Linked DNA regions of Nothobranchius furzeri. The protein of the gene in region 2 purifies or fractionates together with the protein of the main gene of each other region. This does not show direct contact. Links are inferred from orthologs where the notes say so. Each region holds a gene or a part of one and is shown on either strand. Other genes may lie near its edges.

Evidence for each region.
Region 1: the proteins of strip1 (region 2) and fgfr1op2 purify together in Homo sapiens (affinity purification with mass spectrometry; 3 studies listed by BioGRID and IntAct, with this or other methods). This does not show direct contact. The link is inferred for Nothobranchius furzeri from reciprocal best matches to the Homo sapiens genes STRIP1 and FGFR1OP2.
Region 3: the proteins of strip1 (region 2) and sike1 purify together in Homo sapiens (affinity purification with mass spectrometry; 3 studies listed by BioGRID and IntAct, with this or other methods). This does not show direct contact. The link is inferred for Nothobranchius furzeri from reciprocal best matches to the Homo sapiens genes STRIP1 and SIKE1.

The regions. Positions count from the first base shown.
Region 1 is NC_091741.1:59,845,460-59,849,213, forward strand, and holds the start of fgfr1op2 (FGFR1 oncogene partner 2 homolog), read right to left. Parts: upstream 2,769-3,754; 5' UTR 2,504-2,768; intron 1,923-2,503; 5' UTR 1,921-1,922; coding exon 1,786-1,920; intron 1,540-1,785; coding exon 1,422-1,539; intron 992-1,421; coding exon 849-991; intron 758-848; coding exon 644-757; intron 1-643. Other genes in the region: med21 (mediator of RNA polymerase II transcription subunit 21), read left to right, coding at 2,825-2,866, 3,203-3,317. UniProt on the Homo sapiens protein: May be involved in wound healing pathway.
Region 2 is NC_091743.1:46,738,320-46,742,073, reverse strand, and holds the start of strip1 (striatin-interacting protein 1 homolog), read right to left. Parts: upstream 2,677-3,754; 5' UTR 2,477-2,676; coding exon 2,240-2,476; intron 826-2,239; coding exon 756-825; intron 652-755; coding exon 577-651; intron 500-576; coding exon 365-499; intron 270-364; coding exon 149-269; intron 28-148; coding exon 1-27. UniProt on the Homo sapiens protein: Plays a role in the regulation of cell morphology and cytoskeletal organization. Required in the cortical actin filament dynamics and cell shape. Part of the striatin-interacting phosphatase and kinase (STRIPAK) complexes.
Region 3 is NC_091755.1:53,138,412-53,142,165, reverse strand, and holds the start of sike1 (suppressor of IKBKE 1), read right to left. Parts: upstream 2,425-3,754; 5' UTR 2,280-2,424; coding exon 2,121-2,279; intron 1,823-2,120; coding exon 1,717-1,822; intron 1,635-1,716; coding exon 1,492-1,634; intron 1,397-1,491; coding exon 1,283-1,396; intron 886-1,282; coding exon 763-885; 3' UTR 1-762.

The DNA.
Region 1 (3,754 bases), on a different chromosome or scaffold from region 2:
AAAACAATGAAAATCAAGTCTGGTAATAACCAACTTGTACGTAATGACCATAAAATGGCCAGCTCAGCACTTCTAATATATTTTCTACATTTTCTAGTTATTAATAATTATTGATATTAATCAATATGCTTTTTATGTATATCGTCCAGCTCTATTGGTGGTCACAGATAGGTTAATCTGATCTACCGGGATTTGAACCTACAGCCTTCTGTAAAATGTACAGATAATAAAACTCTCATGTTTAAACCACAAACATAATGCCTGTTCTCTACTTTCTTATTTCCATTAACATTGTGTTTAAACTGATTTCTTTCATGATTTTATTTTCTCTGTAGCTTCTTATTGTTTAGATCACTTAACTACATGACCCGTTTGTCAGAACGTTACTCTCAGTTATAACAAACTGAATGAACCAGTGGGAAAACCGGTCCCAAATGTACTGATTCATAGTTTAACCCACTATGGCAGATGCTTTGATCCAAATGAGTTAGTCTTAAATGATATTGCTTACCTGTGTAAGATGACTCATGAATCATTTAAATAGCTAAACTCTCCCTTGTTTCATTCATGTCAAACATGTTTTCCTGCATCAGAATTCAGAACATTTACAGGGATGATGCAGCAACTCCTTATTCGTCTTTACCTCTAACTGTTTAATCCTCTCCTCGTCTTCACATATTCGGTCCTCATCCACCTTTATAGCTTTCCTCATCACAGATGCCATCTCGTTGATTTTGTCTATGTGCGCTTGCATTTCCTGCACAGATCAACAAAAAATGATTAGAAGATTTTACATTACAGTTATTAAAATATGAATTAGAAGAACAAAGGAAACCCGAGTTGCTGACCGTGGTGTGCTGCTCCTTCAGCTGAGTGACGATGGCGGGGTCATCCCTCTTGCTCGCCATTAGGAGCCTGAACACCTGCTCCCTGTATTTAGTCATGATGAGCTCTATCGCAGACTGGTGTTCCTCCAAAGATGTTCGGAGCTCTGCAGAAAGAGAGAACGCATGTTTGGTTGGCTAACTATGACAAAGTCATTCTCAAATCATGGTATGAGAGCTCCCTCTAGTGGTACGAGGAAGACATTTTAGTAATGGTATAAAAAGGTAAGTAGGCTAATTATTCACTCTTAATTGGACCATGGCAGCAAGCTAAGTAAGTGACTACTAATTACTGAACAAATGAATAGGGAAATGCAGTGAAAAATATTTTGTAAGGATTTTAAATAACTCTAGTCGATCTGTATATGTCTATGTAAATAAATTTTACCTTAATGATGTCTCTGGATATTTGTAAAAAACATTTTTTCTGCCCAAAAACATTTCAGTGTTTGTAAGCAGTGTGATTTGACAAAAGTAAAGGAATGTATTGTACCGAACAGGAAGCAATCACCATGAGTATTAACACTGAAAGACTACCTTTGTTTTCCTGCTGGAGTTCTCTGATCTGACGGTTCTCTTGTTGGATTCCCAGAACCAGACTGGAACGAGGCCGATGTCGCGCAACCTGGTTCAGTGCATCAATCTCTTCCTGGTACTGTCAAATGTGAAAAAATAAATAAATAACGAATCAATAAAAAGCTTCGCCCTCAGTAGTTATGTCCTGTAAACTAAACAGCAGTCAACGCTACGGTTAAAATATTCCATCATTCTTTGGAATGCACTTTACTTTCTTCTTTTGCATTATAGAGTGTTCAGTTATAGAATTAGTAAAATGTGACCCCTGGTGGCACTAAGCTAGTACCCAACAGCACATAAAATAGGAAAAAAAAAAATCACATACCGTTTTTATAGCCTCCACTCTCTTGTTGAGAGATGTTGTCTGTTCAATTAGCATCTCAGCGGCATTGTCGTGGTTACGAAGCCTTTCCACTAATGATTTGGCATCTGCCAAGACCTTCTCTAAACTACAATTCATACCTAAGGAAATACAGAAGCATAAAAACAACTTATTTTTGATTATTCAACAGCTCTGACTTGTTGGTATCAATTTATTGAAAATAAATATAATTAATGCAATACACTACGAATACATGCAAACAAATCAGTCCAGTAAGTACTAATCTTTATTTCTTCAAACTCAGCTCATTCAAAGATCTGTCTACTTCTATATTAGTTGTTCAGAATCTTTTTACAGACAGCCACACGAAAATACATGAACTTTCACTTCACCACACTCTGTAAAATAATAATAATTCACCAGAACGATCGAAATGAGCCATGAATAAACGTTTCTAAAGCTAAAGAACCTAGCTTGAACCTTAAGCCTCCTCGTAGGTGATAGCACGCTAGTTTACAGCCAATAATGCATTGATAGGTCATTTTACTCTAATAAGAGTTTTATTACTTAACATATTTTGCATTTACTGACACAATTTATCACCACAACACTTCATTAATCAAATATAAACTACCGAGGAGTTCATAACACCAACCGGCTGCTATAACTAAACTTGTAAGGTCCACAAAAGGCAGCAAAACTGACAAATGTGTGGTCATACCTGAAGAGTTCAAAGTACAAAACCACTTGGGTTGAGTTAGCTTCTTTACTTCCTGTTGTTGTTTGGTGGCTAACACTGGCTAAAAGCTGACGTTTACTCCGGATTAGATGCTTTGGCGCGTTCCCATTTCCTTAAAGCACGAGAGTAAATATCGCTAGTCATGAAAAAGTCGATTTAAAACCTATCCACATTACAAAAAACCAGCCGTGGGACGGTCACAGCCATCGCTTCAGCTAACTCGAAGCCTCTTGTTTATTTCCGCGAGACGTTAAACTCTCGCGAGGGTCACGTTGGGGAGTTTTTTATTTTATTTACGGCAACATGGCGGATAGGCTAACGCAACTTCAAGACGCTGTCAATTCTGTAAGCAAAACTATTGAAATATCCCGAAATATAATTATTTTCTACGTCAATAGTTATTTTTTTATCTTACACAATTACAACAAATGGATTTAGATAAGAAATATTTGCAGAATTATCGTTTCAGTCTTTTAAATGTAGCTAATCGCTAACTTGCGAGTCTAAGGTTTAGTTAATTTACACAATTTATCACAGCTTTTATGTTTTAACCAATGAACATGGCTTGGTTTAACTGGTAATGCAACTATCAGACTATACTGGCTGTTTATCTATTCTATATTCTTTTAAACAAATGTCCGGAGTTTTAAAACCCGTGTTTGTTTTGTTGCGTGTGAACAGCTGGCTGATCAGTTCTGTGATGCCATCGGTGTTCTGCAACAATGTGCTCCACCTGCTTCCTTCAGTAATATTCAGACAGCAATCAACAAGGATCAGCCAGGAAATTCAGCCGAAGGTTTGTAACTTCAAAGCAAAATCTTTATTTAAATCTCTTTTCTCCCACATTCAGCTAGCCTGACCAGTCATGCATCCTTATGGGAAGCATTAGTTCTCTGTGTAGAATTAAACAGAGGACGAGTCTGGCAGGCCAAACATGCTCACATGCCTGGTGGAAAAATCACTACCAAACTCTCATGGGTTATTTATTTTCCTATTCGAAGAAGCCACAATTTAATAAATTGTTTCAAAAAGGGGTTTCGGGGTTTAATTGTATAAAAGTAAAAATGCTAGTCAACAAGTGAAATACTATTTCCAGGATAAAGTTAAAACGTCAAGAAAAATGTTGAAATTTTAAAGAAAATTGTCAAAACGTCTAGGAAAAAAAGTGTTACCATTTCCAAAATAGCCTGAAGAACTGAATCTCAACTGTACCCTGCCCATCCCCAAAAGTGT
Region 2 (3,754 bases):
ACTGCACTACTACAGGCGGCACTGTTACTGAGGAGTAGAGTGCATCAGTGATATAACAGAAAATACATAGACTGAAAACTCTGCGAAACAACAACTTTTACAGCAATTAATGTGCAACAACCATTCATGAACTGAACATAAAACATACTCGATCTCCATGTTAAGTAGTTCCACCAGAGCAGAGAAGGTCCCAACATCAAGTAGCAGAAATATGTTATATCTCATCCAGTGCTGCACCTCAACCTCAGAGCTGCATTCTCCAAAGGTTCCTGCATAAAACAGAGATTTATCAAAGGTTAGAAACATAAAGCAGATCTTTACCTTGTAATTAAGTTGATTTTATTCAAAGTGAGGGAACACTGACCCTGAGCCATGTACAGAATAGCTCTAGCAACCTTCAGTCTCTTCTCACGAGTGATGACCTCCAGACTGTCCAGGAGACGCAAGGCATGAGCCCTGTGCTGAGCTGCATCCAGCTCCGTCCACTTCTTATCAAACACTGAAGCACAGCAAGGAAACAGCTAAATAAACATTTTATATTTTATAAGCATCTTATCGGTAATTAGGGCCACCTACCATGAGCTCTGAATTCTTCCTCAAAGCACTTCCTGTTAAGAACAAATTCTGGTCCTTCAGTGTAACTGTAAAGTTCTGAAAATGGTACAAAATAAAATTTAATTAATGGTCTAGTTAAGAACAAGTCAAACTTATTCTGAATCTAGATTTCTGATTCTGAGAAGCATATGCATCCAAACCTGACAGCTCTGCAGCCCACTTGTCTGTGTCAGAATATTCAAACTCGAGATCCGGCAACTCAGACATTCCCTGCACACATGAGATCAGATATCAGACAAAAATAATAGTAATTTCTTGCCTACAGTTTTGAAGAAGTATCACTAATTAGAATTTTAATTAAGAAATCATTTTATATATCCCAGATGTAAATTAAGTGTTGTAGTAACCCTGACTAAAGTATGATTTATTGTGAAACATAAGGATGTCAGAGTTAGATAAAAGGGATTTTTGACACCAAACACACTGCACACAATCCTAGCTCCATACTGCAGCAACACAACACTGCACACAAGATGTGTCCAGCCCCGAGTGATAACACCTGCTACACAAAAACACATAAAAATGAGAAAAGAGGCTGACATCTGATCTCCAAACTAACCAGAACCCAATCCCATTGTTAATTGAAGGATGAGTCACAACAACCACAACAAATATGATTTAGTGTTTACGTACAAGCATCAAACCAAGTGGATCAGTGGACAACTCTGGTCCTCTGAGGGCACTACCCAGCATGTTTTAGTCATTTCCCTGTTCCAACACACTTAATTCAATGGTTGAATAACCTGTTCAGCAGGTCATCAAGCTTATGTAGAGGTCTTTTAATCACCTGCTGATTAAAATGAAATGTATTAATGCAGGGAAACAACTAAAACATGCTAAAGAGCGGCCCTCGAGGTCCAGGACTGCCCACCCCTGCATGCTCTCTGGTCTTTCCTATTAATTTTCTCTCTCTCTTTCCGTACTTTTTGTTTTTGTGAAGTGCCTCGTGATTTTTATCTTGAGAGGCGCTATATAAAATATCGTTTTCTTTCTAATACTGATGGTGGAGCTCCTGCATATCCACTACAACCATGGTGAGTAAATTTGGTTTCATTTGGACAAACTGCAGTATTAAAAGACCAATTCTAGCACCAAAATAGAGACAAATCAAGTATTTTTTAATTTCTAGTTGTACTTGATTCAGTTTGTTTATTGGGTCAAATCAACTCCTGGAGCAGATTCTGGAAATTGCTGCTATGCATCATGATGCAGACACGCACTGTGACTAGGAAGAACCCTATGTTAGCTTATTCACGTAACTGTTTTTAAAGCACTGTTGCTGCAACTAAATGGATCATAAAGCACGAGTGGACCCGACTCACATTTTTTCAACAGGTAGACAGAATTCTGACAGGCAGTCCTGTTAGCTAGCATCAGCTAGCTACTCTAAGCGAAGCTAGAGCTAAACCAACAGCAACATTTCAGAGGACAAAAAGATCACAAAGATATACACACACATTTAAAACATTTTGAGTCAGTTACTGCAGATAGCAGCAGCCGAGTTGTTAAAGACATGCTAGTTAAGAGACACTCACAAAGCTAACGTTACAATAGCAGAAACGAGGCCTCGTCTTGATTACAGAACCCCCTGGCGAAATAAAAATTAACTTTTCTGTTAACGCACCTCTGAGTCTTTTCTTGAATTCCGAGGAAATTCTCCCCTGCCTTTATTGGGCAGCATAGCTCTTTGTTTATTGTTTACAGGTGGACCACCACCATTCCCACCGACATCCATCATTAGCAATTGGACGAACTCTCGCGAGATGAAAATTGAGCGAGAGTTTGTTTCTGACGCGTACGTGGACCTTCCTCTCGGTTCTTCTGTTGCATCTTTTTGACGAATTTGTATTAAATCTGTCATTCATGTTCAACTTTATATTATTTTTATAAGATCAATCCCACCCTTGCTTTAAGATCAGATTTTATTGTTTATAATTTTTAAGGTTTTGACGATCGGCGGTCAAATTCATACAAACATCAGATACCTTTATATTTACTCAACAAAAAACTCTATATTTTCTTTCAATGCCCCCACTGTACATCTATCATGTAAATGCGCACAAGGACAACAGCTCTGTTTTGCAATTTCATGTGTTTATTGAAGGAAAATTTGGACAGAAAAACAAACATTGAAAATTTTTTAGTTGTTCAATAAGTAGAAATGGTGATGGACAACACTACAGCAAATATTCATTGTTCATATGGTGTAACCAATTCCTCCTGTACTCCATTGGGAGCTGGTGTCCACCTTCAGCAGACTGTGCGAGGTGGGCAGCCTGCTGGTCTCCAGTCCATCACAAGAACACTAAAGTATTACTTTACATTATCCAGTCTCAGATGTTGCAATGGTCTGTTGGTAAAATCCCAATGAGAAACGATTCTATTGTCCCAAAGTCATTGCAGTTGTAGTGTCATGAATGTCCTGTTTTTGACCAAAAGGTCATGATCTGCTGCGTCTGCTCGAGCAGAGACTTGTCTCTGACACAGGCTAATCTACATGAGATAGTGGCCAAGGTATTTCATGCACTCTGCTCATTGAACTGCTTCACCTCTGTTACAGCTCAAGACGAAGACGAAGAACTCTTGATAAACACATAATCAACCAACTTAGTTATTACCAATAATAATGTGAGCCCAATGTTCAATCAATCTGTGAAATGACAATGTTATTACTTGATATTATAATCCTGTGATCAGTAGTATTTTACAAGTAATTATAATCTTGGGCATTTCCACTAGACACTAATGACATGTAACGCTAAAGCCACATGACACATTTCCTTTTGTCTGATCCAATCAGAACCTTCGTTTCTGACGCGAGGCATTGTTTTCTGTGGTGTTTGTTTAAACCCTCTTTTGCATGTCAAATTCTGATTCGCCAGTAAACCAAAATATGACAATTATAAAAACTATCCCACGCCACCTTTTGTTTGGTTTAAAGCGTTCTAGAGAAGTCTCGGACAGGCCATCCGGACTTCCCCTTCAGCCATAAAGAACCTCGACAAGCTGGATAAAATCTATTATAAGTTACACCTGTCTGCAACGGTTCCTTCAGAATAAAAGCTGAACCTCACGACCCCTTCAGGGTCTCGCTGACGCCAGTGATAACCTGTCGTGACCTGGAAGCATTCCGAGACTA
Region 3 (3,754 bases), on a different chromosome or scaffold from region 2:
AGTAATTTCCTGAGATGACATTTACAGTTCATGACAAAATAACAGTGCACAAGTACATAACACTCAAAAAAGTAATGCTTACAAAATGTTACCGTGAGAAAGATGTGCAGTCAACTATTACACATTTACTCTGCAATCCAATCTAAAAATTCAGAGTAAAAACTGGTATTTATCATGTTGTAAGCATAACAATCAACTATGGCAGACAAAATGTACATTTATAAATTTACAATCTCTTTAAAAAACTGCCCACTGTCATTCCAGCGCAGGCATTTTGTTTTGTGAAACAGCCAATAGTCATTTTCTTGGCGATGAACACAACATCACACGTGGTGTACAAGTTAGCGTTTAAAACAGAGGCATTTTACTTTTTGGGCATTTTACTTTTTTATGTTCTTAAAAGATTAAACTCATCCTTTCTCCATTCTAAACAAAAATAAATCTCCCTCAGCTTCACTTCAGCATTTAGATAAATATAAAATAAACCAGTGATACCCAAAGCACCTCAGTCAAACTCCGTTCGTTTATGAGGAATTCACTCCCAACATTGCTGCAGTGAAAACACAACTACTGTACATAAAGATATCTATCATAATGATATACCCACTGGTAGTTAAATGCTTCTGATGGCTTTAATGTTGAATTTAAATTACTTTTACAAACATTATTCTGCAATCTAGGTTGTGCTTAAAAAAGAAAAAGCTCTTCCTGTTTGGTTGGTTGTTCCACCTGATCAGTTCAGACTGCAGCTGCTCGGGTCACTCATTGGTCACTGCCTGAGGGCACTGCTGCTGCTGGTGTTGATGGCTGGTGGCTCTCTTCATTTCCCATCTTCACAGATGCCTGGCTGATGGCCAGAAGGTCCCGAAGCTCCTTGTTCTCAATCTGAAAGAGCCCGGATAACCAAACGTAACCTCGTGTAGATTACTCGTTATCACCAGTCCATGCAAGATGGTTGTATCTATGCGAGTTTGGTTTATTGAATCAACATTTTAACCAGAATGAGTCAAGAAAGTCATCTCAAAGAGTTTCTAAGTTGATCTCAGGTGTGTCCAGATATTTTCATTCATAATCTAATGCTGCACCATACGCTCCAGGAAACTAGCAAACAAGAAAACCTGAGAAACTCCAACAGTTTTTATGCTAGCAGCACTAAGCCTTGTGTGTGTTTGTAGACTCATGCTAATTTCCTGAGCTGTTTCAAAGCCTTAGAGTCACTGATTTTGCCTTTTAAAAGCTTAATGATAACTCCTGACATCACGACTGCCATTCCAGTCCTTACCTCCAGTTGAGCAAGCCTCTCTTGAACAGAGCAGAAGTGCTGATCGTCCACCTGCATGGCTCTCCTCATCACTTGGCCCATCTCACATATCCGTTCCACCTGGCTTTGCACTTCCTGGATAAGATTCAGAAAGCATAACTTCAAACCCCTTTTTCTGTCAGAAAATTACATGACTGGGAATGTTCACAGCACAATGAAAGTTGGTGTACTTTGACGTAGTCTTGGTGTAGTCTGAGCACTGGTTTCGTGTCCAGCTCCTTTTTTGCCATCATCAGCTGGAGCATCTGCTTGCGATATCGACCCATGATCAGTTCTAGTGTGTACTGGTGCTCTTCAAGGGACAGCCATAGTTCTGCGGAAACAGTGGCGAAGACAAAAATTACAGACAAACACATGAACTCTAAAAATACCTAAAAACATTGTAAGGATTTTACCTTTATTCTCTTGCTGCAATTCCTTGATTTGAGTGTTTTCTTGAGTCAGAAGGATGTGAGGCTTGTATTTTGTGAGTTCCCGAATCTCTGAGCTGTCTTCTGTGTGCTAAAAGGCAGCAACAAGGAAAATGTCATAAGTAAAAAATACATTTTAAGCACTAGTTGGATGACTGTTCCACCTCTTGATAAATAATTCCCATTATTTAAATATGCTTTTAAAGGCTGGTGTACTTTTTTGGACGATCAGACCTTCTATCTCAAAATGTCTAAGTACTTGAGTAGAGTTAGAGAAGAGTGTCATTTTAAGCTTACCTGCAACCCCAAATCCTTAATGCATGGCTTAAGTCAGCCTTCTAATATAAATATACTTTCACCCAACGTTTATGTGTGAGAGACCATCTTACCTTGTCTGGAAGAGCATTGCCCACCTCCCTCATGCCCTGCACTCTCTGGCTGAGGGCCCCGGATTGCTCGATCAGTCCCTCAGCAGCCGTATCGTGCTCTTTCAGCCTTTCCAGGAGGGTCCTAGCATCCCCCAACACTTTTTCAAAAGTACAGGCCATTAGCTATTAAGTGACTAGTCGTATTTGTAAACTAAAGCTTCCAAATACCAGTTTGATCAGGCGAAAATTTGCCCGTACTGTAGCTTACGCTGGCTATGCTGTTCAAACGCACAAAAATGTTTTACAAACAAATATTCATATCTCAGCGGACCCTCCTAGATCATTTCTCAAGAGACAGATGACTAATTAAACCAGGACAATGTATAACAAAAGAAATCCCTCTTTTTGTTGGCAACTTCGTATTCGAGAGGAAAAAATATAGCGTCACTTCCGGGATTGTACCGTAAACAAGTATCTTGCCGTCAAACGTATCATCGTAGACGTAAAAATGTTTACGAATCCTTTGGTTTTCTCATTCTCGGCAAGGAAACCGTGTGCATAGACATTTTCTGAATAATTTCATTATCCAACTATCTTCATGAGTGTCTGGTGCGCAGACCTGTGGGAAAAGCCGTTTTAACATTTAATAGCATACTTTACTGCATATTAAGCATTTAATGCCTTTTAAACCTCGGTTGAGCCCAGGTTGAGCCCGATTATTTACTTCAAAACAACTGAACATCATTTCCCATGAACCCATGCGTGACAACAGAGCCAGCTGCAGAGGCTTCCCTAGCCTTCGTCAAATATCGCGGGAGCTGTCTCCCTAATCACTACGTAATGTGCCGTGCTGCTTCTAGCGGCGCTGGTGACAGTGCTAAAAGCTGTTGGGGTGAGTTTTATATTATTTTTCTCTGCTTGGTAAACCGTTGAGATATATTTAAATGTCTTATTTCGCATTTAATTTTTTTATAATTCAGGCGGGGTCACCAAAGCGAACGGGCGGTGTACAGCAGAAGTCGGGCCTGGGTGGGGATGCCTTGTTTTTTCTCGGGCCACAGCAGCGTGCTCTGGCTAACGAGCTAACGTTCCAAACGACCGAGCGACGGTTAAATAGCAAGCTGGCGTTTCTTTGACGTGTCTAAAGTACCGAAGACATGCTACTTTGGCCATTCTAACACTTAAGACGTTTCTAGTTGGTGCACAACTTTTGTAGACGCGAGCTTTGTAGGTAGTTTCTTTGTTTTCCATCATCCTCGTGCCGTTAGCCGCGGTGTTTTCTTCGTTTACCCTCGATCTGTTAGGAAATCAAACACGTTTTAGCGCATGTGTGTTGTATCGGACTTGATTAGCCGTCTGACAAATTTCGGATTTAAAATTGGTTTTGATCTAATTCCCATTTTGGTTTTTGCATTTGTTTCAGCTGGATGATGTCGCAAATGTGCCAACCTACTTCTTAACGATACACCTTAAACTGGACCTTTACGTTTATTCTTAAGTTTTCCAAATAATTACAAAAAACAATTTATACGACGTACTTCTCTTGAAAGAAAGCATCTTTGTTTATATTTTTTCGAAAGTATCAATATACCATTTATTAAAATCAAATGAAGAATACGTGGCATTGTAGCCTGAGCAACGTTTCTTTAGAAGTC